Schizosaccharomyces pombe: one gene and its partners. The gene in region 1 interacts genetically with each later gene. Each region holds a gene or a part of one and is shown in the gene's direction. Other genes may lie near its edges. The genes, in order: gad8, tip41, gpa2 and aly3.

Region 1 (6,510 bases):
TTTTACATCCCTTCTCTATTCTCTATGTCTCTGTCTTTATATTTTGTGACTATGTGAAATAGCTAACTCAGTATATTTAGCTAATCGTGTTTTGCCCTCAAAAATTCCTTTGACCCCATTTGTTAAGAGGGATGATGATTCTAGTTCAACTCAGGCAAGTTACTCTACTACTGTGAGCGATGTTGTGATTGTCACCGACAAATCTTGGTCGGATGGTGTAGAAACCATTTTGTAAGTCATGCTTGTCATTTTATGGAAACTATTTGTTTGTGTAAAATTACTAATATTATTTTTAGTCCTTATAGTTACACCGAATATCAACCATCTACTACTTACACTTCTGCACCTGCCGGATCCATTGGATACGCAGCATCCATTCCCAATACAGGGCGCGAATTGATGGAGAGTGGGTCCCCTGTCCGGTTTTCCAAGAGTTCATTATTGATTGTTTCACTCTTGAGCATTGCTGCTTTTGCCGCTTTAGTCCTTTAAAAATTCAACCGGAACCTACCCCCTAACATTCACCTGAAAATTTCTCTTTAGGGATTTTCTAAACTTAGATATAGTTTTTGATTCTACTTTACTCTTTTAAAATTTTTGTTGCTACTTACACTGTCAATTCTATATCTGCGCTCGATAACCGGTTTCTTTTTTTAGGCGCTTTGGCAAACTCGTCTCATCCCTTTAAATAAAACACACAAAGGGAGCTCTCTGTGAGAAAATTCAAAACTCTGAAGAAACATCGCTTTTACTAGTGAGGAGCCTTCTAGAAGTAACTACGAAAAGAATTTGCTTTTCTCATGGGTAAGTAAGGGTTTGCCTACAGTTGAGTGAGTCATCAGTTTCAACAAATTTCGTTCTTTTCATAAATTCATTGTTCATGTTTTATTTCTGTTTTATATGTTATTTTATTTTATTTTATTTGAAAATGTTTTTTGTTTTTCAGTTCTCTTTGGATTTATATACACTTTGAAGGACTTGTACGAAGCGTCCAGTGTATTAAAAGTAGAGCATTGGTATACAAATTGCTTTTCCGTTAAATTGCTTTATCTTTTTTTTTCGCTTGTTGCACAAGGAACTGAAATTTTACAAAACGCATCGTACTTGGAAGTTGCAAAAATCTGATGGAAGGCATAAATAAATGACTTGTTTTGTAAAGAGGATATTGCAATCCTAACGGTGGTATTTACATGCTTCTATAATTATTTTAAAACAAATAAAGTTAATTGGTCTGCTAAGCTACACATACGCGTAAACGGCATTTTGCGTTTGTCCGCAGATAATTGTCAAGATAATTATTTGTATTGTTTTGCTATATACTTCGTTTTGTAAATTGATCCATTTGAGTGCTGTTTCTTGACACGTGTAGTATAAATCCTATGTTTCAATTTAGGTCACTACAAACTTGAGCAAGTTACCACTTACAAGAGTACACCAGCACTTTTAATTTCTCTATATTAATATTCCATCTTTTTGACATTACTAAGTTAACTAATTTAATAGCTGATATGTAAAACACCATTGCAAAGAACTTTTATATATAGTGCAATCGTACGAGAAAAGGGTCTATAATTTTTGATCATTATACGACAAACCTGCGTAATGTGCCGACCGTATCGGTAGCTCTCCTTATAATATTTTATCGAACTCACGTTGTTCTGCCGCAAAAAGCTGCTGTCTTGTACCACTTGTATTTTAGGAATACGGATGATCCGAGCTGGCCACATCTACTGACTGCCAATACGACCTAACAAAGGGAATATCAAACGAAAGCATTTTTGACATCAAATTTTATTTCATTGACTTTAACGTATTTAGTGCTGTCGATTGGTTTCAATTTCGTCAAAATTTCCGCGAGGTGAAGGCGACTTTGCTCAAAGTCGTAATACCAAAATCGGCTTAGAAATCGACTTTATCAACGAAGCATTCCTTTAGTAGGGATTTTGGAATAAAAGAGATTGCGATTTATTTTGAATTTTAAAATCAACACCCTTGCTTACTACTTATCGGGATTAGATTTCTTTGACGAATTTACTACTATACTGACATTACCAAACGCCTGTATCCCCTTTCGTTTATTCAAAAAAAATTGCAACTTGTGCTTACTTTTTATTTTATTTTTTTTTTGGATTTGATTTGATTGTTCGTTCGTATTCGCTTACTGGTACACTTCCCGTTTTTGTCTTCGAATTAGTCCATAAATACGTTTTTTGTTAGATTGAAGCTTTTTTGCAGCCTCGTTACCTTATTCTTTATCATTTTCGTTATATTAAAAGAAAAGATAGAGGGAAAGCGAGCTTTTAAAAATCAGTTCATTTTTTTTTTCTACTCCAAACAGACGTTACCGAAATGTCCTGGAAACTTACAAAGAGTATGTATTCCATAATACGGGTTATCACACTCTGTCTTTCTTTTTCATACTAACAGCTTTTCGCTTTTTAGAATTAAAAGAAACTCATCTAGCATCCGCTATTGGCCTGAACTCTGGCGGCTCTAGTTTTACTAGAGGTCTGAAAAACAGTACTTTATCCTCTACTTCTTCTCGTAAATCAAGTGATGAAAAATCTCGGAAAAGCTCGGAGGATAAACGGTCTCCCCAAAGTACCGTCGTGCAGCCTGGTTTATTGCAGGTCACAATTATAGAAGCTAGAAATTTAAAATTACCGTCGGGACATGTTCCTGCCAACTACGGGGTTTCCATTGACAATTCTTTACTTGCCCCTCCACTTAGTAATGGCTCGGGACACGCAAGGTCTCGTAGTCATGCTTGGTGGTTACCTTATATCGTCGTTGAATTCGACAAAAATGAAATCTTAGTAGATGCTCTAAATACTGCAAGCCTTGAAAATCCTTGCTGGGATTATCAGGCAACTTTTGACGTTTCCCGTTATTCCAAACTCTCCCTGAATATTTACCTTCGTTCTTCATCCAGCCGCTCGCGCAACGGTATGGGGAATGACGCTTTCCTAGGCGGGATTAAACTGTCGCCTTCTTTCATTGTAAACAAGCTTACAGACGAATGGGTACCCCTGCATGGGGGTAGCGGTGAACTTCGTGTTCAAATGCTTTACAAACCCAATCAAAGTACCCCTTTAACCATTGATGCATTTGAACTATTGAAAGTGGTTGGCAAAGGCTCTTTTGGAAAAGTCATGCAAGTGCGTAAGCGTGACACTTCTCGTATCTATGCTTTAAAAACTATGAAAAAAGCCCACATTGTATCTCGCAGTGAAGTAGATCACACATTGGCTGAGAGGACAGTACTTGCTCAAGTTAATAACCCTTTTATTGTTCCATTAAAGTTCTCCTTTCAATCTCCCGGTAAGCTGTATCTTGTCCTGGCCTTTGTTAACGGTGGTGAGTTATTTCATCACTTACAAAGAGAAGGCTGTTTTGATACATATCGTGCCAAATTTTACATTGCTGAACTACTTGTTGCTTTGGAATGTTTGCATGAGTTCAACGTTATTTATCGAGACTTAAAACCGGAAAACATATTATTAGACTACACCGGTCATATTGCTTTGTGTGATTTTGGACTTTGTAAGCTAAACATGGCTAAAACCGATAGAACGAATACTTTTTGTGGCACCCCTGAATACCTCGCTCCTGAATTGCTTTTGGGTCATGGTTATACAAAAGTTGTTGACTGGTGGACTTTAGGTGTGCTACTTTACGAAATGATTACAGGACTTCCTCCTTTTTATGATGAAAATATAAACGAAATGTACCGAAAAATTCTTCAAGATCCCTTGCGATTCCCAGACAACATTGACGAGAAAGCAAAAGATTTATTGAGTGGATTGTTGACCCGCGCTCCAGAGAAGCGGCTGGGTAGTGGAGGGGCGCAAGAAATAAAAAATCACCCTTTCTTTGATGATATCGACTGGAAAAAGTTATGCGCCAAGAAGATACAGCCACCCTTTAAACCAAGCGTTGAATCAGCTATCGATACTAGTAATTTTGATTCTGAATTTACATCGGAAATCCCAATGGATAGTGTTGTTGCCGATTCTCACTTATCTGAAACCGTTCAACAAAGGTTTGCCAATTGGAGCTATCAACGACCAACAACCATTGATACATCCGACGACATTAATACAATAGCACCTGGAAGTGTCATTAGGTGATGAATTTGACACTTCTTTGTTTATTTTGAAAGTTTTCTCATTTTTACTCATACATGCCGCTTTTCTTGCCTCTTTTACATATTTGTATGTTATAAAGGCCAAAGCTTCGTTCATTTCTCATTATTGTCATCTTTTTTTGTCGTACAAGATCATTTTCTATTACTATTATTATTATCATTATTATTATTATTATTACTGACAACCTCAAGTCTTTGAAGATTATTTATTTTTTGTCAGCTGAGAAAAAGTCTCAGATATTGTTGGATGTAGTGTTTTTTGTTCTTGTAGTTTCCGAAATTACTAGTGTAGAAAATTGATGGAAAACTCTTTTTAATTATTAAGCATAAGAACGTAACGGCTATTGAAAAGGGAAAAAAAGACGGAGATGTAATTAAAGGTGAAGGGGTAATTAGTAAAATTACATTTCAAAACGTAAAGGTAATAAACAAGAGTAATATGAAAAAGGTAAAAGAAACCAGTACTTTTAGGTTGGAGCGCCAATCCACCGAGCATTATGGAAGAAGTCGTACACCTGTTCGACTTTATTAGCGTCTAAGTGTTTAAATAAATTAACTGCATCGGTTTTTTGAAATGGTTTTTTGGAAGTCAGTGAAGCCGATATTAAGGCAAATTTTAGAGCCAAAAATGGTTTAGGGAAAATCTGCAGTTTTGAGCAAAGCGCTTGCTCATCCTCTGAAAGCAGTTGCCGATCAGCGGAAGCAGAAAACATTGTGGGAGTCGCTGGTTTTCGAGGAACAATCTTTTGAATGTCACGAACTTGAAAAGGAGCGGAAGTGGTTTGGTTAAACGACTTAACATGCCTCAATTGCTTATCATATGAAGCAGAAGCTTTACTTAAGAGGAATTTTTGCGTTTTATCGCGTTCATATTTATGTCCTTGTTCGAGTGTAGTAAGACCCATCTGTCGCCATTCCTGTAAATCAGAAATTTGTTTTTTTAGGGTTATTTGCTCGTGATAGCTGTTCACGAACTTTTGGTAATCAGGGCCCGTCAAAAGTCGAGCAAATGCTTTTGTTTTATTAAGTAAGTTTCGTTCCTCTTTTGACATGCGCTTCTCATTCGCCTGTAGCCGTCGATAATCTAAAAGGTTGTGATTGAAAATGGTTTGTTTACGAACAGCCCGACGAGTAAGACGGGAATTATATATGTTAAGCATAGTCAGCTTAAGTTGCATTTCATGCTTTGCTGACTCGTGTAAATCGTCATCAAAATTCATATCCTTTATGGGCAGTTCAGCTTCGTTCATGTACTCTTGATCAAATTCAAGACGGCCCGGCATATAGCCTTGGATTTCGTGGCATTGGGGTGTAGATGCTAGAGGCTTTTGAGGAATAATCGGTGGAGGCTGAAAAGCTTCAATACGAGCTCGTTTCCGTGCCGCAAATGCTATGCGATCCACCGGTCCAGGGAGCTCTACGCTTGCTAATGGATAGCAATCCGACTCAATATAGGTTTTCAGATAATGATCCCGACATTCTTCTTTCGTCCGAGCATTTCCCACATAGTCTGCAATGTCAGCCCAGTTTCCAAGGCCCAGTGTTTCACAAGCATCGATTAGTAAGAGTTCCTCATCAGCACCCCAATTTTCGTCGAAAATAGGGTATGAATTGGTTTCAATAATCCTATACGGATGAGACGGATGGTGAGTTCCTAGGGAGGCACCAGATGTAAAGCAGGGGATGCACAAATCGAAGTCAACACATTCTACGCACCGAATATGAATGGATCTTGTTATATCTTGGGCGCAGACGTTGCAATGATACTTTTGAGGAGGCATCCTGCTTCATGTGCAAAATTTTTCGTCCCTATATGGTGGAGCAAAGTGATGATCCGATGCGTAGAATATCAAAGAAGCTTGAGTAAAATGAGAAGTAAAAGTTGGATTTCAAATATGAAAATTAGATCATTAAACTTAGAAAACTCTTTTGAATACGATTTATTAATAATGGTGGCTGAAGTTGAAGTTTTTGACTTTTCAATATCACCACCAGCAATTACTAAATACGATCGAAACGTGATTGCAATCAGAAAATAAGTTAAAATTCATTCACTGAATAGTTATTTTTGTTTAATAAAAAAATCTGTTGCGTTATATATGGTTTCTTTAACCGGAAGACGGCTTCTGTCTGTCGATAAGGTAGAATCAGAAAGAACTAACTCAGAGTATTAAAAAAACAAGAAAAAAGCAATTCCGGCTTATCAAACGAATCGATTCTGTAAAAATATCACAAAGTTGACATTTACTGGATTGAAGGTCTTTTCTTACTGCCGAAGCGAATGTTTATTTCCCTTTCTCATTTTGAAGAGCACCTGCACTGTCTTGTGCTATGCGACTAACAGGTCCAAGGTTTTTCTCTAT
Region 2 (4,657 bases), 230 kb from region 1:
GCATACCATCTGATGTCAAGCCCGTACCTCCAGCACATCTATCTGCATCTTCTACTGTAGGTCCAAGGATTCTTCCTAGTCTTCCCAAAGATACCACAGAGGACAATCCAGCGTTGGAAAGGGTCGAAACGACGGCGTCTCTCGATATGGATTATAAACCTTTAGAACCTTTAGCTCCCATTCAGGAAGCCCCTGTTGAAGATACTTCAGAGCCTTTTTCTTCAGTCCCAGAGGCCACCTTAGACGACTCAGATATCTCTACAGAAAGTCTTCGTAAAAAGGTTTTGGCCAAGATGGAAGCAAAACGGATTTCCAGTGGATCTTCCTATGCTAGTACACTTAGGAAAGTTTATGATTTCTCTGAGCTTTCCCTTCCCACCAACGGTAAAGACTATGATGAGTTATACCTTCAATCTTCCCGTAATTCAGAACCTGAGATTTCTACTATTATCAATGATTCTTTACAACAGGAAAATATGGATGAGGATATTAGTGCCACTTCAATTCCGAAATCTCAGGCCGCCTATGGTCATGGATCTGTAACGTATCATGAAGTCCCCAGATACAATCTAACTTCTGCTTCCGTGGGATATAGTATATCTAGTCAACGTGGTCGTATAAAAAGCAGTTCTACCATTGACAATTTGAGTGCTATTTTAAGCTCTGAAGATTTACGTCACCCATCAATGCAACCCGTACCAGGAACGAAGCGTACTTATAGTAATTATTGTGAAAATGAGCCAAACAAGTCTAGCCAAAGTTTAGTCAGTTCTGAGTCCCATAACGTCGAAGGATGGAATTATTCGGAAACTGGTACAGTAGGTTTTTACGACCCTAGTGCCGAGATATCCGCCAGCATTGATGAACTTAGGCAGTCTACGCCTGTAGCCAGAGATAGCGAACTTTTAAGTCGTGCACATTCCTTTGATTTGAATCGCCTTGATCTTCCAAGTCAGGATAAGAGTACGTCTTACGAAGTCCCGAATGGTACTGAAAATCAATCACCACGTCCTGTTACTTCTCTTGGATTTGTGAATGAAACATTTTTTGAAGAGAAACCAAAGGCGCCCTTGCCACTTGGTCGCTTTTATATACATTTGAACAGCATTTTGAATATTTCGATAAGTGAAGTCCATTCACCTATCAAGATAATAGTTAATACGCCTACGCAAAATATGCAGCTTCCTTGGCAAGCTGTTAATGGGAATAATAGGTTGGACCATGATTTTGCTTTTCATGTTGACGATAACTTTAAAGTGAGTTTTATGTTTCTTGACATCCCTATTGAGGACAAGTCCAACGGTTCGAAAGGAGTATCTGCTACAAAAGACGTTTCAAACGGTAAGCCTGCTGAAACGAAATCCAAAGCTAGGAAATTTTTTGACAAGCTTTTCAACCGACGCAAAAAGAGAAAACTCAACAAGGCTGCTGCAGTTGAGAATTCAAAGGCTAAGAAGTCAGTGGTTATCAAGAAAGTCTCGGGTACTGCTACGTTAAATTTGGGTAATGTCAAAGACAGTTGTTTTGGAAAGGCTTTCAACGTAGAAATACCCATCATTTCCAGAGGCTTCTTGGAAGCGATTCCTGTAAAAATAAACTCTATAGGGAAACGTACACTTGGTAATCTAACTTTGACTTGTTTGTATATTCCTGAGCTTTCGGTTCCAGAGCAGGAATTGCCATTTACCTTAGAACAAGCTACGATGGACTTGCGACACGTTAGAAGTAACTATCTATATAATGAGGGATACTTGTATAGATTGGAAGATTCATCTATTCGAAGACGTTTTGTCGTTTTACGCTCAAAGCAGCTGAATTTTTATGCTGAAAAAGGTGGGCAATATTTGGATACTTTTCAGCTTTCTAAGACAGTAGTTTCAATCCCAATGGTAAATTTTTCAGAGGCAGTTTCAAACCTCGGTCTAGTAGCTGGAATATTGGCTACATCTGTTGATAGAAGGCATGTTCAGTTGTTTGCGGACTCTAAAAAGGTTTGCCAAAAATGGCTTCAGGTGATGAATTCACGCTCGTTTGCTCTAGATAGGGGTACTGAGAAATTATGGTTACAAGAATACGTGAATTTTATGGCTTAATATCTGAATTTATGAATACTAATCGTCTTAATGTATTTTTTGAATAATTTTTACTTATCGGATTTACTAAATGAGGGAGTTGAACTGAAATTATATAACTACTGAATTAATACTTATAGATCATTTTTCATTTTTAATCTGAATAATTAATCAACTTTTGGTTTTTTGAATATACTCTATAATGAGTAAAGTAATATAAAGGTGTTTTGTGTTGGCTAAATTTACATTACCTATATTTTGCCGTACGCACTCTAAATTGTTACAATAATATAGGGGTCAAGCAACTACTCAAATCACATTATTTAAAGGAGATGCAAAAACAAGATGATTTTTCATTTAAATATTGGACTATCAAAGTCCAACGGGGGTCAATTTTAAAAAGCCATGAGATGGAGAACCTTCAAAGTACATTGGGTTTTCCACCTCCTGAGATGACCTTTGGGAATAATTACATCTCAATTGAATACAAGAATCAGCCTGTAGTTGGATTTTTTACTGAAGATGCTCTTAAAATGGTTGGTACCAAACCTGAAGATGTAATGCAAGTTTCTTTTGCAAAAGACTGGGCCAAATCCAGAATTAAGCCCGGAGAAGAATACCCTGTGATTTACCCATTTGATTGGACTTATTATACTGATTATCAGGGAACTATACAACGTCCAAATGCAAAATTCATTGAAATTGATCAGGTAATACCTGTTCAAAAAATACTTAACGCAGGACAAAATTTATGGTTCAATGAGATAATTCTTTTCGAAGATGAGTTAGCAGATAATGGAAAATCAATGTTTGATGTGAGAGCTCGAGTTGTTCAGGGTCATTTAATATTGTTAGCACGCCTTGTCGTACGTTTAGACAAGGTAAATGTTCGATTGAATGAGACGAGGATATATATTGATTTGTTGAATGATTTTCTCTTGAAGGACTGCCGTAAAAAGCAAGCTACTTACGACAAAATTATTAAACAAATACCTGTGGGGGGAGACAAAGCTGCATTGCTAGATGATAACAATTGGTTAAGTGAGCGCCTTGATACCGTTGACCATAAAATCTATAAATTGAATTTTTGATGCTAAAATGATTCGCTAATGGCAGACATGAGAATTTAGAACTTTTGTCAACGAATGAGTGTTGAAGCAATTTACAAGTTTATTACGTTTAGTTCATGGTAATATTTATAATCATTTTCAACTAAGAGGTTATTAATTTAGGTTTTCTAATTGAGAAAGCAAAATAAATAGATACAATCTTTGGTACGATTAAACGGCGAAGATATACTACTGAAACTGCAAACAAATTTAAAATGGTCCAGTAAATTTTAGAGTATACTTAATTAGGAAGAATGATGGCCTCGTAATATTGATCGTTCGTTATAACATTGTATTTGGCAATCAACCTGTCACAACCTCTCTTCCCCTTTATATTGTACGACATTAATCGATCCGTTTTTTATTTCAACCCAACTCCTACGTATTTATTTGCAGGTAATAATTAATTTTATTAATTAAGAAAAGATTATCAAAAGATCCTTATCGTCATTCAGTAATGAGTCGCTGCTGTTTAAATTTGCCATTGAGACCAGCATTTGTTAAGCAGCCGGTATGGGGGAAGAGTATATACGGTCCCTTAAGAAGAAGATTTTCATTTTCTCCAATAAATGTTATTAATCATTCACCTTCGGAAACGAAGAGAAGAGACCCAGTAGAAGAACTCAGATACAAACCCCTTACACCTCCTCAAGATCCACGTAAAGTGGCTCCGCCAAATAGTTTTCTAAAGAAAATAAGTCTTATTTATCAAAAATATATCTCTCCTAAACAAAATTTATATTATGAGGCTACTGGTACTGCAAGATACATGTATTTTGAGGCTGCTCGACAAGCTACCCCCGAAAAAAACTCGCTAGGTGCTTTTGAATTTTGGTACCAGAAGTGTGAAATTCCTATGACATTTCAGTCTTGGTTTCAAATAACGCAATTACATTTGTGGATCCTCCATACTCGCATTCGTGGTTTGCCAAAAAATGAAAAAGTTGCCTTTTCACAGGCATTAACTACTCGTTTCTTTGAAGACATGGAACTCAGAATTCATAAAGATTACCGCATTAATAGCAATCGAATTTCTGGTATGTATCTGAAAGATCTGTTTCAGCAACAGACCGGCGCCATTTTTGGTTATGATCAAGGAATGCTGGGAAGTGATGCTGTTTTGGCTACATCCGTTTGGCGTAACCTTTTCGTTGGTCGCCCAGACGTCGACTTAGTAATTCTTGAGACTATTGTTAAATTTATTCGCCTCAATGTTTATCGCCTGTCATGTTTATCAACCGATGACTTTATCAATGGGAAGGGAGTACACTTCGTCCCACCTGAAGAAAGTGCACAAACAAATATTTGATTAATAAATGATTGCTACTCTAATGATTAATAAATTGACGAACGGTCATGTTTATTATGCAAAACCATGAATCTTTTTTGTAAATAATTACTTTGAAAGCTTTTACCATTACGTTAAATTGAAAAGTAATGAGGAGCTTTTGAAATATTTTATAGTAGAGAATGTTT
Region 3 (6,905 bases), on another chromosome or scaffold:
TCCATTTTCACTGTACGTTTTAAATTAATGAGATATACATACCGAGTGTGCACCATCTGGAAGAGAAAGGAAAGGTAAGATAGACCATTCTTTGGGAAAATCCATAGATTCTGGAAATAGGTGTTCTATTTCAGGACCTCGTAAATGATGACTGCAACTACGTTAGCCAAGATTACTAAATTGTGTAGACGAGGACGTTAGATACTTACAACCCAATAGTTGCCAAGCAAAGGACTTGGAAGCTTGCACCATTTTCATCCATATCGCATTGAACGAAATCCAAAAGATTGTATCTGAGTACCAAAATTCAATTTCACTAAAGATCCTCCTAAGTAAATGTTCCAAAACGATACCAAACAGTTATTTTCAATACTAAAAGATACAATTGCTGTTTAAATAAATAAAACTAAAAAGCTAGTTGTGCATTCAACGGCCATTTACATTGTTTTGGCAGAGCATCAACGGGCGTCTCTAACATGGGTGGTATAGTGTAAACGCGTATGACTAGGTATCAACGTTTGTTACCTAACTTTGCCTTAACATTACTTTTGCATGCATTTTCATTGTTGAAATGAGTATTAGAAGACTATTGGGAAGAGCATATGAGGTAAAAGCATAAATTTTTGAAGATTTTCTAATTTTTGGAATTATAAGATGATTTTTTATTTATTTTCGTACGGCCTTTGGATAAGCCAACAGCTTCGTTATAAGAAGTAGTAGTCATCAAGTCGAAGGTTATACGGTTACGCGGTTATGGACGAGAGTAAGCATTGGGTTATACGCTTACAACAAAAAATAAGAAAGCTAAAACTCTTGAAAAGAAATAAAAGCCACAGCGAAAGAACAGTAGCTGGAAAAACAGTTTCTTTCATCGTTTTCACAATAGATTAGAAAATCAGAAAGTCGGTTGTTCATGATCCACTTTTTTGCACACTGTAAATATAGATATTGGACATATTCTCAACCAACTGGCAAAAGAAAAAAATTAGGAAAAAACAAGATTACTCTATATTTTTTCCGTTGTCTTCTAATATTGACTTAGCTAATGATTGATTTATTCAATTATTTTCTTATAATAATTTTTTGAATTAAATTAACATAGTTTTATTTTAAACTGGGAAGCGCATCTTGCTCATAATTCAAATTATTGCCCTAAAACCAACATGAAACAGATCCGGCAAACTAGTTTCCACAATATATCGGGATATATCAAGATATGCAAGATATATAAGATACACATATATAAGAGATATAAGATACATATTCAATAATTGTCAAGGATACCTATAATCAAGCAAAAATTAAACTTACGCAAATAAGAATTTCATCTTTATAAAAAAAAAAAAACCATCAAAAAACAAAACAATATAAAAACCCTCCCACTACATGTGAATATCTTGGAAGACTTTTTTTTATAACTAGTACATGCTTTTATTAGTATGTAATGAATAAATGAACGAACAACAACGGATTGACTTCAGTACCACATAAACATTACGAAACCTAGCTAATTCTATCTCACCTGAAGATTATTTTATTTTAGCGGGGCAAATGCAGTCCTTCCCGAACCTCCAAGACTAAGTAACCAGCAAGTAACGGCATCAGGATATCTTACCATTCTTACCCATTAAATTTAAGGAACCGAATGAAATTAGGAACGATGAGCAGTTTAACAAAGTCCTCCTTATTTTTTTTGCGTTGAAATGTAGTTTGTAGTGTCAAGCTGCTTTGTGCTATTTATCGAGCAATGAGAAATAGGAGAGGAGTTATGGTAGCAGGGTATACTTAGTAATGTTTTCATGGACCAAGCGGGGGAGGGGCGAAAAGCATGTCTAGTTCGCTGTATTCAGTTTCAAGACCCCATTTCATGTTTAACATTTGTTCTAGATACGCAAAAATCCCTTTTTTCTAGATTGTTTGCAAGTCCCCATGTCTTCTTTTTTTTATACAGCTGAAAAATTTTCCGACTGTCAGGTAAAACTGGTCAGTTGCGAAAACATGCTTTGCTTCATCTTGGTACCCAATCGTCTATGGATTTTTTATATGTTTCTTTCTAGCTTTGTGATAGCTGCCCACGCTTTGCGATCAAGTTAGTTGCCTTATCCCTTGTGCACTTTACTTTCATATCTGAGTAAATAAGTCTCCGTAACTGGAATTGAACTTGGTAAAATTGGGGCTTGAAAATTTAAAATATTATGAAAGTGAACAAACTCAGATTGGGAAAACACTCATTAAACATTGCTTGGAAAGATTGCGCGTTTTTTGGAACACTTCCTTTGGTCATCTTTGCTATCCCGATTGCTTGCATCTTCAGCCATAAACAAGGGACGACTCATTGAGTTACTAGAGTAGTAATAGAGCAGTATAGTTTAGTAGTATAGAAATGCTGGACCAACCAGTTAATGACATATAAACATAAAACATAAAAAACTATTTTGATGAGCGGCGCTTCTCTATGCGATACTTACATAGAATGCAAAGCTCACACAGGTCTCAGCTTACTGCCTGCTCCCCTCGCCCAAGGTCATAATCGAAGAGTAAGACTTACACTCCAATCTTCTTTACTTGAATGATGCTTGTTTGGTGGTATGTGTTGGATCCTTTTCCAATGTTACATTTTCCGAACTGTCCTCTCTACCCCACTCGAAAAATTAAAATCGTAAATGGATGATGCATGACGTAGTGCCTCATAAATACAAATTATACCAGAGTTGCCGTCTGTCTTTTTCGAAATAGTATAGACGAAATCACCGCTCAGGTACCAATCTAACCATAGTTGTTAGCTACTTAAGCTGTTTGAAGCATCAAAACGCTTGCCCTTTTGCTGCTGCTTGTTGGATTTAGGGTAGTGTGAATTGAAAGTAAGGATTTAATTGTACACTCGGTTAGTTGGACAGTAGTAAGAATTGAGATATTTTGCCTCTAATTCTTCTTTCTTCCTTGTACAATTCTTAATTTTTTTCTCGTTCATCGAAAGACGACGAGAAATCAATTTTCACGAGTTTCTCATTTGTCGCTGCATCTCTTCAACTGATTTCAGCCTTTTCTTCTTGCCTTAATCAACCTTGGTATTCACTCGTACTCACTGTGTCAATTAGCTAGCCGGCTAGCTTCCGACCTGCGATCCTTCCTCATTCTCCTCCACCCCCTGCTTTTCGAGGCATCTGGTGAAACTCAAAAAAAAGTTGAAATTGCGATTTAAAGGTCGCCCATAAAGGGGGTTAATCAAACTTTGCGCGTATAGTTTAGTGACTGACTAATCAATATTTTGATTATTGATTCCTATTCTGTAATATCCCCTTTTGACACCCGCACCCTTGTTCCTACTTAATCATACTTGCTACCTCAACTTTTTTTTTAATACTTTTATTTATTTGCGTTTCACTTTTCTTTCTAACTTGCTCTCTTTCCATTTTATTATTTAATCTTTGCTTTAATTGGGAAAAGAACTGGATTGAAGGCTTTTCTTGGAAAGTCCTCGCCTCTCTGCTGCTACACCTTACCTACCTGCGTTTAACCTTCTTACTTTGTTTCATATTTATTTCTCCCATCTTATCCCAAAAACCCGCTAGCTGTCGGATTGAGAAGTTTGGTGTCCTACTACATCCCCGTATTTATATTCTGCAGTAGTGGATTAAAAAAAAATGACGATTTTTAATGGATTATCTGAAAGCGGTGAATCAAAAAAATTGAACAGCAAAATCGAAAAGCAGATTGAAAATGCCTCGAAGAAGGATAAAAAGATTTACAAAGTGTTGCTTTTAGGTACGTAAACTACTCAATGTTGTTGTTGTTGTTCAATAGTTATATATGCTTGGGCAGTCGAGCAAAAAAGCAGAAAAGATTGAGAAAAAAAATAAAGAAACGAAATGAGTGAAACTATTTACGAAACAGAGAAACTGTTTAAGAAATGACAGAAAATGGTTTGTCTAATTGCGTCTACGTTCTCTACTCTTGGTTACCCTTTCCCTTCAATACTCAGTCAGTGAAGGTGACTTTGATAACGTTCTTCTAGTTAACCACTTTTCGTCGTCGTTGCATGTTGTAATCAGTTGCTCTACACTCTTACCGTTTCTCTCCATTGCATAGCACAGATTTTTTGTTTGATTCCTATAGCAAATTTTCCTTCCTTTGTTTCTTACAATCGTCAGTCTAACCATTGTTTTCTAGGTGCCTCCGATAGTGGAAAAAGTACCATCAGTAAGCAAATCAAAATTCTCAACAAAAATGGGTTTAGTCAAGAAGAGATTATGACATTTATTCCGGTGATCCGACGAAACCTGTTGGAATCTGCTAAAACCCTTGTTAAAATTATCGTTCAAAAAGGTATCAACTTGGACCCTTTAGGAACCCACAATTGCGAGATAATCGAAAAATTTAATCCAACTCCTGGTGAGCTTATTAATGCTAATATTGGCCAAGCTATTACTAGTCTTTGGTCAGCCAATAGTGTTAGATCCTGTACATATGGAAATGATTCCGTACTCATTGACTCTGCCCCTTACTTTTTTTCGCGAGCCGATGAAATTTGCAGTCGGCATTATGTCCCTACAATAGATGACATTCTCCGGTCTAGAAATAGTACTCTGGGTATTTCGGAAATATCGTTCACATTGGATCATTTGCAAATTCGAATGTTCGACGTTGGTGGTCAAAGAACCGAACGAAGGAAATGGATTTATTGTTTTGAAAATGTGAATTCAATCATATTTTGTGTTTCCTTAAATGATTATGATAAAAAGCTTTATGAAAGAGCCGCCCCAGAACGCAATCGTTTGGTTGAAAGTATTTCTTTATTCGACTCTATTATAAACAGTCAGTGGTTTATGCATTCTTCTATCATTCTGTTTTTGAACAAATTTGATTTGTTTCGGAAGAAACTGGAACATGTTCCGTTCCAGGATTACTTCCCCCAATATGAAGGTAAAAATTCTGTTAAAAGTATTACCCGGTATATTCTTTGGTTATTTGTGAACCCTTCTATAAATCGGGCTAAGCATAATATATATCCTCACATTACCACCGCTGTAGACACATCTAACATAAAGGTTGTCTTTTCTGCCGTTAAGGAAACAATTCTACAACACAGTCTGAAAGAAGCGGGAATGTTTTAATTTTAATTTGAAGATAAAATTTACCCTACCATTATTCATATGTTAACAGAAGACCTCTTACTGTCTGCATATGTCTAGAGAGTTCTGAAGCCTCCTTGTAAGAATCGCTTCTTTTACATTCGTTTATTTTTTTTTTTTAATATTGTCCGGAGTTTATTACACATGTTCTTTAAAAATATTTTTCCAATATATACATTGGCTGCTGGAATCTGAAATCACCGATTTGTCTGTAAGGAAAAGGATCGATCTCCTTTTCAGTTGTCTCAGAACGTTCACAGATTGCTATTAAATAATCTCTTTAAGATGACCAAGTTATACAGTTCTAGTTGATATAAATATTTTGTCATTTTTGCGAATATCAATTTGCATTTAATTTTTTACTTTAAACGATGCTGCTGGCGAATGCTTTTAAAGTTATTGAATACTTTCTGTTGAACATAGTCTTAAGATTGAGAAAGTAGATCTCCAGTTTTGATTCGAACATCTATCTCTGCTTTCAGAACTATTGCTATCACTTAATGCTGCTATTTATGAGGGTCGTAGAAAATCCGTTTGAGTACTAAGAGACTTTGAGTGGATACATGATTTAATCGCTTTTGTTTTAGTATTTAGTTTTTAATTGTTAGACTACTTGTATAGACTATTTCACTGAATCATCAAAATTGTTGTCTCTCTTTGTTGGCACCAGAGACTGATACTTTTTACCGACTTTCAGTATCTTTTCTTTAATATATTAATTTACTAATCAAAAAAGCTATTGAACACGTGTATTTCTGCCATGTATAATAAAAAGCCGCACTGTTCTGTATACGTATCAATTTGATTAAATTAGATAGTAATACTACTACATAGATATTCGTTACCCACTTTTAGCTTCTACTTTAGTATATCCACCCATCTTTGTGTTACTGCAGGTTTATTTATTTCAATATTTATTTTGTAAAAACAATTAAGTACATTCGTTAACTAATTATGAGAATTATTGCACTTCCTTTGCCAAATCAAAGGGTATTCTTACATTGTTATCCTTCTGAATACCTTGCCAAAAAAGTTACTATTCACGACAAAATTATAAACAGAATTTACAAGTATTGGGACTCCTGGAGTGCTTCAAAAAGCTATACCAAACAAAAGGTTGTGTCTTTGGGAAACCGAATTTTGCATGCAACTCCTTATGAAGAAAATTTTTTAAGGGCGATTGCTCCTGTTAAGAAGCTAAATGATACAGAATTACACCAAACTTTGTATATTGAACATCCTCCAAATTTGGAATCAAGTACTATTTTAGCTGAGTTGAATCGGTCCAAACAATTACAAAAGACCCATACAAATTACCTTATTGGTAATATTATTGGATTACCATTGACTATACCTTTCATTCTCATACCTCTAATACCAAATATTCCGGGTTTTTATCTTTGTTATAGAGCATACTGCAATTTTCGTGCTATTCAAGGGTCTATTCAATTAGCTCGGGTAATGAGCATAGAAAACATTCAAATGCAGGAAAGTGAAAAACTAGAAAAAGCATTGAAGTTGTTTACAAATGGAGATGCTACACCATTAAACGCTCTCATAGGCCACCCGGATTTCGTGGACCGCTACAAACGTGCCGTTGCTCAGGAGCAACGGAAATCAAAAATAATCAAATAAGAATATTTTTTTCCTTCTATTTTATGAAGTCCTTTGCATATAAAATCAATGACCTAAGTAGTGTGCAATCGTCGTTCCGGTCATAGTTATGCCATAACATTATTGCGCAGCTATGAGTAAAAAGAAAGTCCCAAACTG
Region 4 (6,774 bases), 610 kb from region 1:
TAAGCGTAACGTTTATCTTAGTGTGTTGTATATATTAAGACAAAAAGTATAAGGGCTCTTGCTTGGCTGACGAGAAAACACCCTTCTTTTATTTGTATAATTTAACGATTTATTTACTAAGAGTTTCCTCATTCACTGTACAACTCGTGAGCTACAGTATATTTGGGTGTCGGCGAATTGCTTGAACGATGTGAAGTGTTGTTTAGACACTTGAAAGATTTTATTTCGTTGTTTCATTGTTTGCTGTTTCACTCAGCTTTCGGGTTTTTGTTTTTAATATTATAATTCCCCAATTGCTGTGGCAATAGCAAATTGGTTGCAATAGTTCTGGTATAGAAAGGGAGATTTTATAGTGGGTAGAATTTCTTTTCACGGATATCGCTATTGTTTTTACCACTTTTCGTTCTCTTAGTCGTCTCGCCCTTAAATCCTTACTAATAGACAAAGAGGAGTCCCTTAAATATATTTATTCTTACTCTATTTTATTTTATTCTATTTTATTTTATTTTTTTCTCTTCACAATTTTCTTCATAATTAACTCTCTATCATAATGGCTTCTTCATCAAGTTCCAGTGGTTCTTCCTCTCCTGCAAGTAAAAGAAGCTCAAGGAAAAGACAAACACCTCCAATGCCAGAATTGCCATCTTTCCTTCTCGCGTTTCCACATGCACCACCATTGGGATTTCTACGACCTAAATTAAACAGCCTTGTCGTTCAAGTAAAACGACAGGGAATCACAGCTGAGCCCGTTTTTAACTTATACTCTCGTTTTTCCGTCCATACTTTGTCGCACAACTTGGTGTTGGATAATGTTTCCTCTGAATCAAATAAGACTTCTGCTGTCTTTTGTAAAAGACACGTTGGATCGAGTCAAGTCGTTATTAAAATTTATAGTCCCCATATCAAGGATTATTTACCTTGGACAATATCTTGTACAAAAAACGAATGGGTGTTTGACATGCTGGCATCGTTTAGTATCGAAAACAGTTTACGAATTAAGTGGGTTGCTCCTGACAAGGCAAAACTTAATGAAACTTGGAAGTGTTATTTGCATATTCAAGATGTTAAAAAATCCTACTTTTTAGCATCCTTAACGTCTCGTTCCTTACAATTTGAAGGGGGAAGTGTGGGTCTGAGTAACCGCATCATTACTCATCGTGAACTTGAAATGGTTATTTTGTCAACTTCTCTATGCGTTCAACTATCCCTACTAAATTTATTGCCCAATTATTTTCCAAAACCGTGAATTAATGTGTATTCGTGCGGAACTTCTGCTTATTCCTTATCTTTATGCTTTTTCTTAATAAATAATAATAATGGCGTTCTTTTTCTTTTTTGTTATTTATAAATTCTTGGGACTATTTTTATTTTTGTTCTATTGGATTGACATGCATTTTCCTTTTGATGATTTTCGCGTCATTAAAGATGTGCTTATTACGCATTTTATTCTCAATTTCATATATATTTATTGCCAATCTATTTCCTTCATGAAACCTTTCACTGCTGTCTAGAAATTGAAGCTTTTCTCCGTCCACACCTTTTACTTTTGATACCCCAAAGATGTCCTAAAAATCCCAGTAGCAAAGTACTTATAGACCGAAAAAAATAAAACGTTCCATCGTTTTTAAAAAAGCTACTCATGAGTCGTTTTGTTGCCCGCATTGCCCTTCATAAATTACCAAAATTTTCTTCCTTTCCGACTGGTTTACACGATACCGACCGTGTCTACTATCGTGACAATTTTTTATTTGTTATAGCTGCTGTTTATTTTCTTAATTTTAATGAAGCATAACATTTTATCCAACTGAATAGCTGTTTCTCATCTGTTTATTTTTTTGAATTTTAGATTAAAAAATTTAATATAATCTTATAGATTTTAAAATCACCTTTTCAATATTATAAGTAATTCCTATGTGCCCTAACAATATAATTCGACCAAATGTTAATAGTCGTACATAGCTCTCGTTATTTTAGTACAGAATTGTAGCGATAATTTAACAGTTCCAAAAAGGGTAGGGGGATGCAACTCTATATTTATTCCCATTTGATGCATTGTACTAACATTTGAGCCTCTTTCGATGGTAGCTTACCGATAACAATATAAGTCTTTCATTCACATATTAATATTAGTATAAAAAGTAACGATGTGGTCGTACATACATCAAGGTATAATCATATCAAGGAAATGTTTACAAATCGGAACGTTCAATATGTTCCTCCAATATCGAGGAAGCACTCCTTCTGTTCATGAAAATGTAATTAATAAAAACACTAAAAGACCTTAACCCATACTTCCACCAAAAATTTGAGGTATTCATATTATGAGATTTAATGCACTGGCAACCCGCCGACCACTGAAGGCTGGTAACGAGGCTTAACGGCTATCGTTGTGTATGACAAAGGCTTTCATATATACCTTTAAAGTACTTAATTGTTTACACCATCCACCCTATTCAGTCCCGCAACCGTTTTGGTTGAAAATTGCTACATTCCTTCCGATTTTTTGGATTCAAATCTGTTCGTAGATATTCAGAGATACAAAATCTGGTACAGCACCAGAACTTATTATGAATGAATAAGATTAAAGGTGGCCGGCACAAAAGCCCCGTAAAGCTCTTTGAAGTTCGGTAAGAAATCACTCTTTTTCGTGTTTATATCAAGATTTGAGAGGCCAGGATAGTGGTTAATCTCTCTGCAACATCTTTATAATTGCTTTGTTTCCGTTTACGAAATAGTGTTTGGGGATTTTTCGAATTAATGTTTAGGTTTTAAGTCTTCGGATGTTGAAAAAAGCTTTTAGTTAGCCATCAAGTTAGTATAACATCTGAAATTGATTCAATTTGCTCGTTCAATAGTTTGCTATTTGATTGTTTCTGAAAATCGGCATTTTTCGGAATGGCCGAAGGAATTGGACGGGTAGGCGCTTTTTAGAAAATTTTTTTTTCTTTACAAAGCGCTGTCTTTATTCCATCTTTTTTAATACTTTTTCTAAGTTTTCTACTTATTTCCCTACATTTTTTTTTTAAATTTCCCCATCTTTGTTTTGTAAACATTTTAAGCTTCAGTTTTCTATATACTGCGTTTGATTTACTTTTGACACATTTATTTATCTTAAATATTTCTTGTTATATATATACGCATCAGACTGGCTAACTTCTCGTTTGTAGGCTTTACAATGCAGAGGCTAATGTGATTGTGCTATATGGAAACTCGATGGACACATCGGCACGATTATCAGGTATCGTAGTTCTTTCTGTATCTTCCCCCATTCGGGTAAAGAATATTAAATTACGGCTAAGTGGCCGTTCTTTCGTTTGGTATGGTTTAAAACTCCCATTAATAACTTAACCTCACTTAGGGCTAACACTTTTTTTATAGTTGGGCTGATGAGTCCCGTCATGCATCGCCTGGTAACAGAATTCGACGTCAAGTTGTACAAATTCTGGATAAAAGCTGGTCTTTCCTTGCTCCCAACGAGTCAGCTAAAGTAATTGACCAAGGAAACTACGAGTATCCTTTTTATTACGAGCTCCCTCCAGATATTCCTGATTCAATTGAAGGAATTCCAGGATGTCATATTATCTATACACTCACTGCTTCTTTGGAGCGGGCAACTCAGCCTCCTACCAATTTAGAAACTGCTCTGCAGTTTCGTGTTATTAGGACTATTCCTCCAAATAGTCTTGATCTTATGCATTCAGTCAGCGTAAGTGATATTTGGCCCCTTAAAGTTAATTATGAAACAAGTATTCCATCTAAGGTGTATGCAATTGGCTCAGAAATACCTGTTAACATTACTTTGTATCCTTTATTAAAAGGCCTTGATGTAGGAAAAGTGACTTTAGTTCTTAAAGAATACTGTACGCTTTTTATTACTTCCAAGGCCTATTCTTCTACATGTAGAAAGGAGTTTAAGCGTGCATTAGTAAAGAAGACCATTCCGGGATTACCAATGGTGGATGATTATTGGCAAGACCAAATTATGGTAAAGATTCCAGATTCCCTTGGCGAATGTACTCAAGACTGTGACCTAAATTGTATCCGAGTCCATCACAAACTAAGGTTGTCCATTTCGTTATTGAACCCTGATGGCCATGTATCAGAACTACGGAATTCTTTACCTTTAAGTCTTGTTATATCCCCAGTGATGTTTGGTGCTCGACCCACTGAAGGAGTATTCACTGGTGATCACAATTCCTATGTGAATGAAAATATTCTTCCAAGTTACGACAAGCATGTATTTGATGTATTGTGGGATGGCATACCCTCGGAAAATCCACAGTTGCAAAGCGGGTTTACTACTCCTAACTTAAGTCGTAGGAATTCTTCCGATTTCGGTCCAAACAGTCCAGTGAATATTCATTCTAATCCAGTTCCTATTTCTGGACAACAACCGTCTTCTCCCGCTTCAAATTCCAATGCCAATTTTTTCTTTGGAAGCTCTCCACAGTCTATGTCTAGTGAGCAGACAGATATGATGTCGCCAATAACTTCTCCATTAGCACCTTTTTCAGGAGTTACGCGGAGAGCCGCTAGGACGAGAGCTAACAGTGCCTCTTCTGTTTTCAATTCTCAGTTGCAACCATTACAAACGGATTTGCTTTCACCACTTCCTTCTCCAACCAGCAGTAATTCGAGGTTACCTCGTGTACGTAGCGCATGTACCCTTAATGTACAGGAATTGAGCAAAATTCCTCCGTACTACGAAGCTCACAGTGCGTTTACTAATGTCTTGCCGCTTGATGGGCTTCCCCGTTATGAAGAAGCTACAAGACCTTCAAGTCCTACTGAGTCTGTCGAGATTCCTAGTAATACGACGACTATAGCGCCATCTCCTGTACCCACTATCATCGCACCAGCGCTTCCTTCAACTCCTGCGCCTCCGCTTCCTTCCCATCCTATGGCAACTAGGAAAAGTCTTTCTTCTACAAATCTCGTTCGAAGGGGAGTTCGATGAGCGTCTGTTAAAGTGGTTTATTTTCATTCCCTATGATCTAAGATCATTAATTTTAATGATTTTAAAAGTAAATTGGGTTACAAGCATGTTTGTTTTAAGCATTGATCTTTCTGTTTGTGAAAATGCGTGACGCCTTTTTTTCCAAAATATGGATTGTCTGAATTGAATCCAAAAACACTCAAAGTTCGCATTCTATGTTTTCAATTGCATATTATTTGCTAACATTGAAATTATCTTACCGAAATATATAATCTGAAAAAGCATGAAAAATTATGATTACAGCATGTCAAGCATACAAATTATTAGCGAATTTGGTATGAAAAGTTTTGAAAAAGTTGTGCAGCTTATATACGATATTTAATGATATTTAAATTACTTATACCGAATCAAGTTAATAAATAAATATTCACAAAGTCGAGTCAAAGTATTACTATAATTGTTATTGAACCAGCTAAAATGAAGAATTGACAGATTTGGTAACCTTGCGCTAACCTTTTGTTAATGAGATTTGATGATTTGAATTTTTGGGGCATCAGTAAATAAAGAACTAAAAAAGGTGTTCATAAACTCGATAAAACAGATTCATTAATGAGAGTTTTTTGCTGTCTTTGGTTGCAAAACTACCTTTCCTTTGTCGTTGATATATGATGTGAAACCTGCCTCTTCTAATGCATCAGAATGTGTAGTTGTAATTGGAGTTAAACCCCCTATAATCTTTTGATTTTCTATATTATTTTGAAGAAGTAAACGAGTACAGAGTACTGAGATTTCGCGGATATACGGATTCCAATCATCATAATTTGCTTGAGAAATAATTAAAGCAACACCATTGAAATGGCGGACCAAGTCAGGTGCAGTACTAAATTTGGAACAAATAAAAGCGATAAATCTAACGCATTCTCGCTTTACACCTACAACAGCATTGTAGAGTTCTTGTAACTCCATAGAGGAAGCATATGTTTTTTCAACAAGGGTCTTTTTGGGAATTCTTTTGTCAAGTACGGCAAGCAAATGAATTATTTCGCTGATCGAAGAAGACGGTTGACTCGTTTCAAATTCCATATCACCCAGCGAACTTGAATCATCGTTCTTTAAAGATATAGTTGTATCATAAGAAACATAGTCTCTGTACAATAAATCGACACCTAACATAACAATTTCAGAGAAATGATTAATATGGTCAAGCCCGGCAGACGAGATTTCTTTGGTAAAACATTCTTCTAACACAGACGCGAATTGGCGTCCAACACAAGAGAGTACATCTAAAATAACATAAAATCCTGTAGCGGTTTCTTTTAGCTTAATTTTATGACTCATGCAGTCGATCAAGAAATAAATAGATTTAGGCCCAATTTTAGAAGCAACATTTACTAGAACATTAGGGAAGTTGGACTTTAGAATTCTTTCAGCAATATTGAACATTACATCTTCCCGAAGCCAGTCCGGATGTGAGTCAAAATCGAAAATGATACTCAGCAATCGTATACCAGATTTCGAATGACAAAGTTCGAAAAGTCGCTGATCATCCACTCTTATGAGCGACCATAGAGCTATTTCAAGCGCAGTGCACTGAGCAGGATTCATGGGAACAGGAAGGAAAAAATCCTCATTATCCATTAAAAAAGCCCATGCTTCATTTTGCAGAGGCGAATTGCCAGCAACAGAATTTGCAAAAATTTGCCATGGCAATGAGGAAAAACTATCATTTGAAACCGACTCAGTGAAGTGATAAGGTAAAAACCGACTATAAAGACCGGCATCTCCAGCAGCTTTTTGAGACTTAAACCCCTTTGCAAGGCCGTTTCTTATAAGCTTCA

What was found.
Region 2: of gad8 (region 1) and tip41, changing one suppresses a phenotype caused by changing the other (phenotypic suppression), as found in Schizosaccharomyces pombe (one study listed by BioGRID).
Region 3: of gad8 (region 1) and gpa2, extra expression of one rescues a mutant of the other (dosage rescue), as found in Schizosaccharomyces pombe (one study listed by BioGRID).
Region 4: of gad8 (region 1) and aly3, changing one suppresses a phenotype caused by changing the other (phenotypic suppression), as found in Schizosaccharomyces pombe (one study listed by BioGRID).

The regions. Positions count from the first base shown.
Region 1 is NC_003421.2:910,768-917,277, forward strand, and holds gad8 (serine/threonine protein kinase (AGC family) Gad8), read left to right. Parts: upstream 1-1,732; 5' UTR 1,733-2,349; coding exon 2,350-2,371; intron 2,372-2,442; coding exon 2,443-4,130; 3' UTR 4,131-4,471; downstream 4,472-6,510. Other genes in the region: SPOM_SPCC24B10.06 (uncharacterized protein), read left to right, coding at 81-231, 297-492; SAGA complex subunit Ada2, read right to left, coding at 4,615-5,928. UniProt on the Schizosaccharomyces pombe protein: Involved in a signaling module for sexual development and cell growth under stressed conditions. Required for G1 arrest under nitrogen starvation and for growth at high temperature and osmolarity.
Region 2 is NC_003421.2:1,144,889-1,149,545, reverse strand, and holds tip41 (TIP41 type 2a phosphatase regulator Tip41), read left to right. Parts: upstream 1-2,316; 5' UTR 2,317-2,404; coding exon 2,405-3,163; 3' UTR 3,164-3,331; downstream 3,332-4,657. Other genes in the region: anillin-related medial ring protein Mid1, read left to right, coding at 1-2,093; ubiquinol cytochrome-c reductase assembly protein Cbp3, read left to right, coding at 3,639-4,490. UniProt on the Schizosaccharomyces pombe protein: Involved in negative regulation of the TOR signaling pathway in response to type of available nitrogen source. Activates the PP2A phosphatase ppa2.
Region 3 is NC_003424.3:2,515,055-2,521,959, reverse strand, and holds gpa2 (heterotrimeric G protein alpha-2 subunit Gpa2), read left to right. Parts: upstream 1-2,720; 5' UTR 2,721-3,644; coding exon 3,645-3,765; intron 3,766-3,928; exon of another isoform or gene 3,929-4,170; coding exon 4,171-5,114; 3' UTR 5,115-5,907; downstream 5,908-6,905. Other genes in the region: avl9 (LAlv9 family protein), read right to left, coding at 43-151, 210-262; SPOM_SPAC23H3.12C (hydrogen/potassium transport protein), read left to right, coding at 6,087-6,767. UniProt on the Schizosaccharomyces pombe protein: Alpha subunit of the heterotrimeric guanine nucleotide-binding protein (G protein) involved in glucose-induced cAMP signaling.
Region 4 is NC_003421.2:1,518,989-1,525,762, reverse strand, and holds aly3 (arrestin-related substrate adaptor Aly3), read left to right. Parts: upstream 1-2,442; 5' UTR 2,443-2,571; coding exon 2,572-2,627; intron 2,628-3,167; coding exon 3,168-3,317; intron 3,318-3,378; coding exon 3,379-4,957; 3' UTR 4,958-5,407; downstream 5,408-6,774. Other genes in the region: SPOM_SPCC584.16C (uncharacterized protein), read left to right, coding at 551-1,246; mug160 (ATXN10 family protein), read right to left, coding at 5,543-6,774.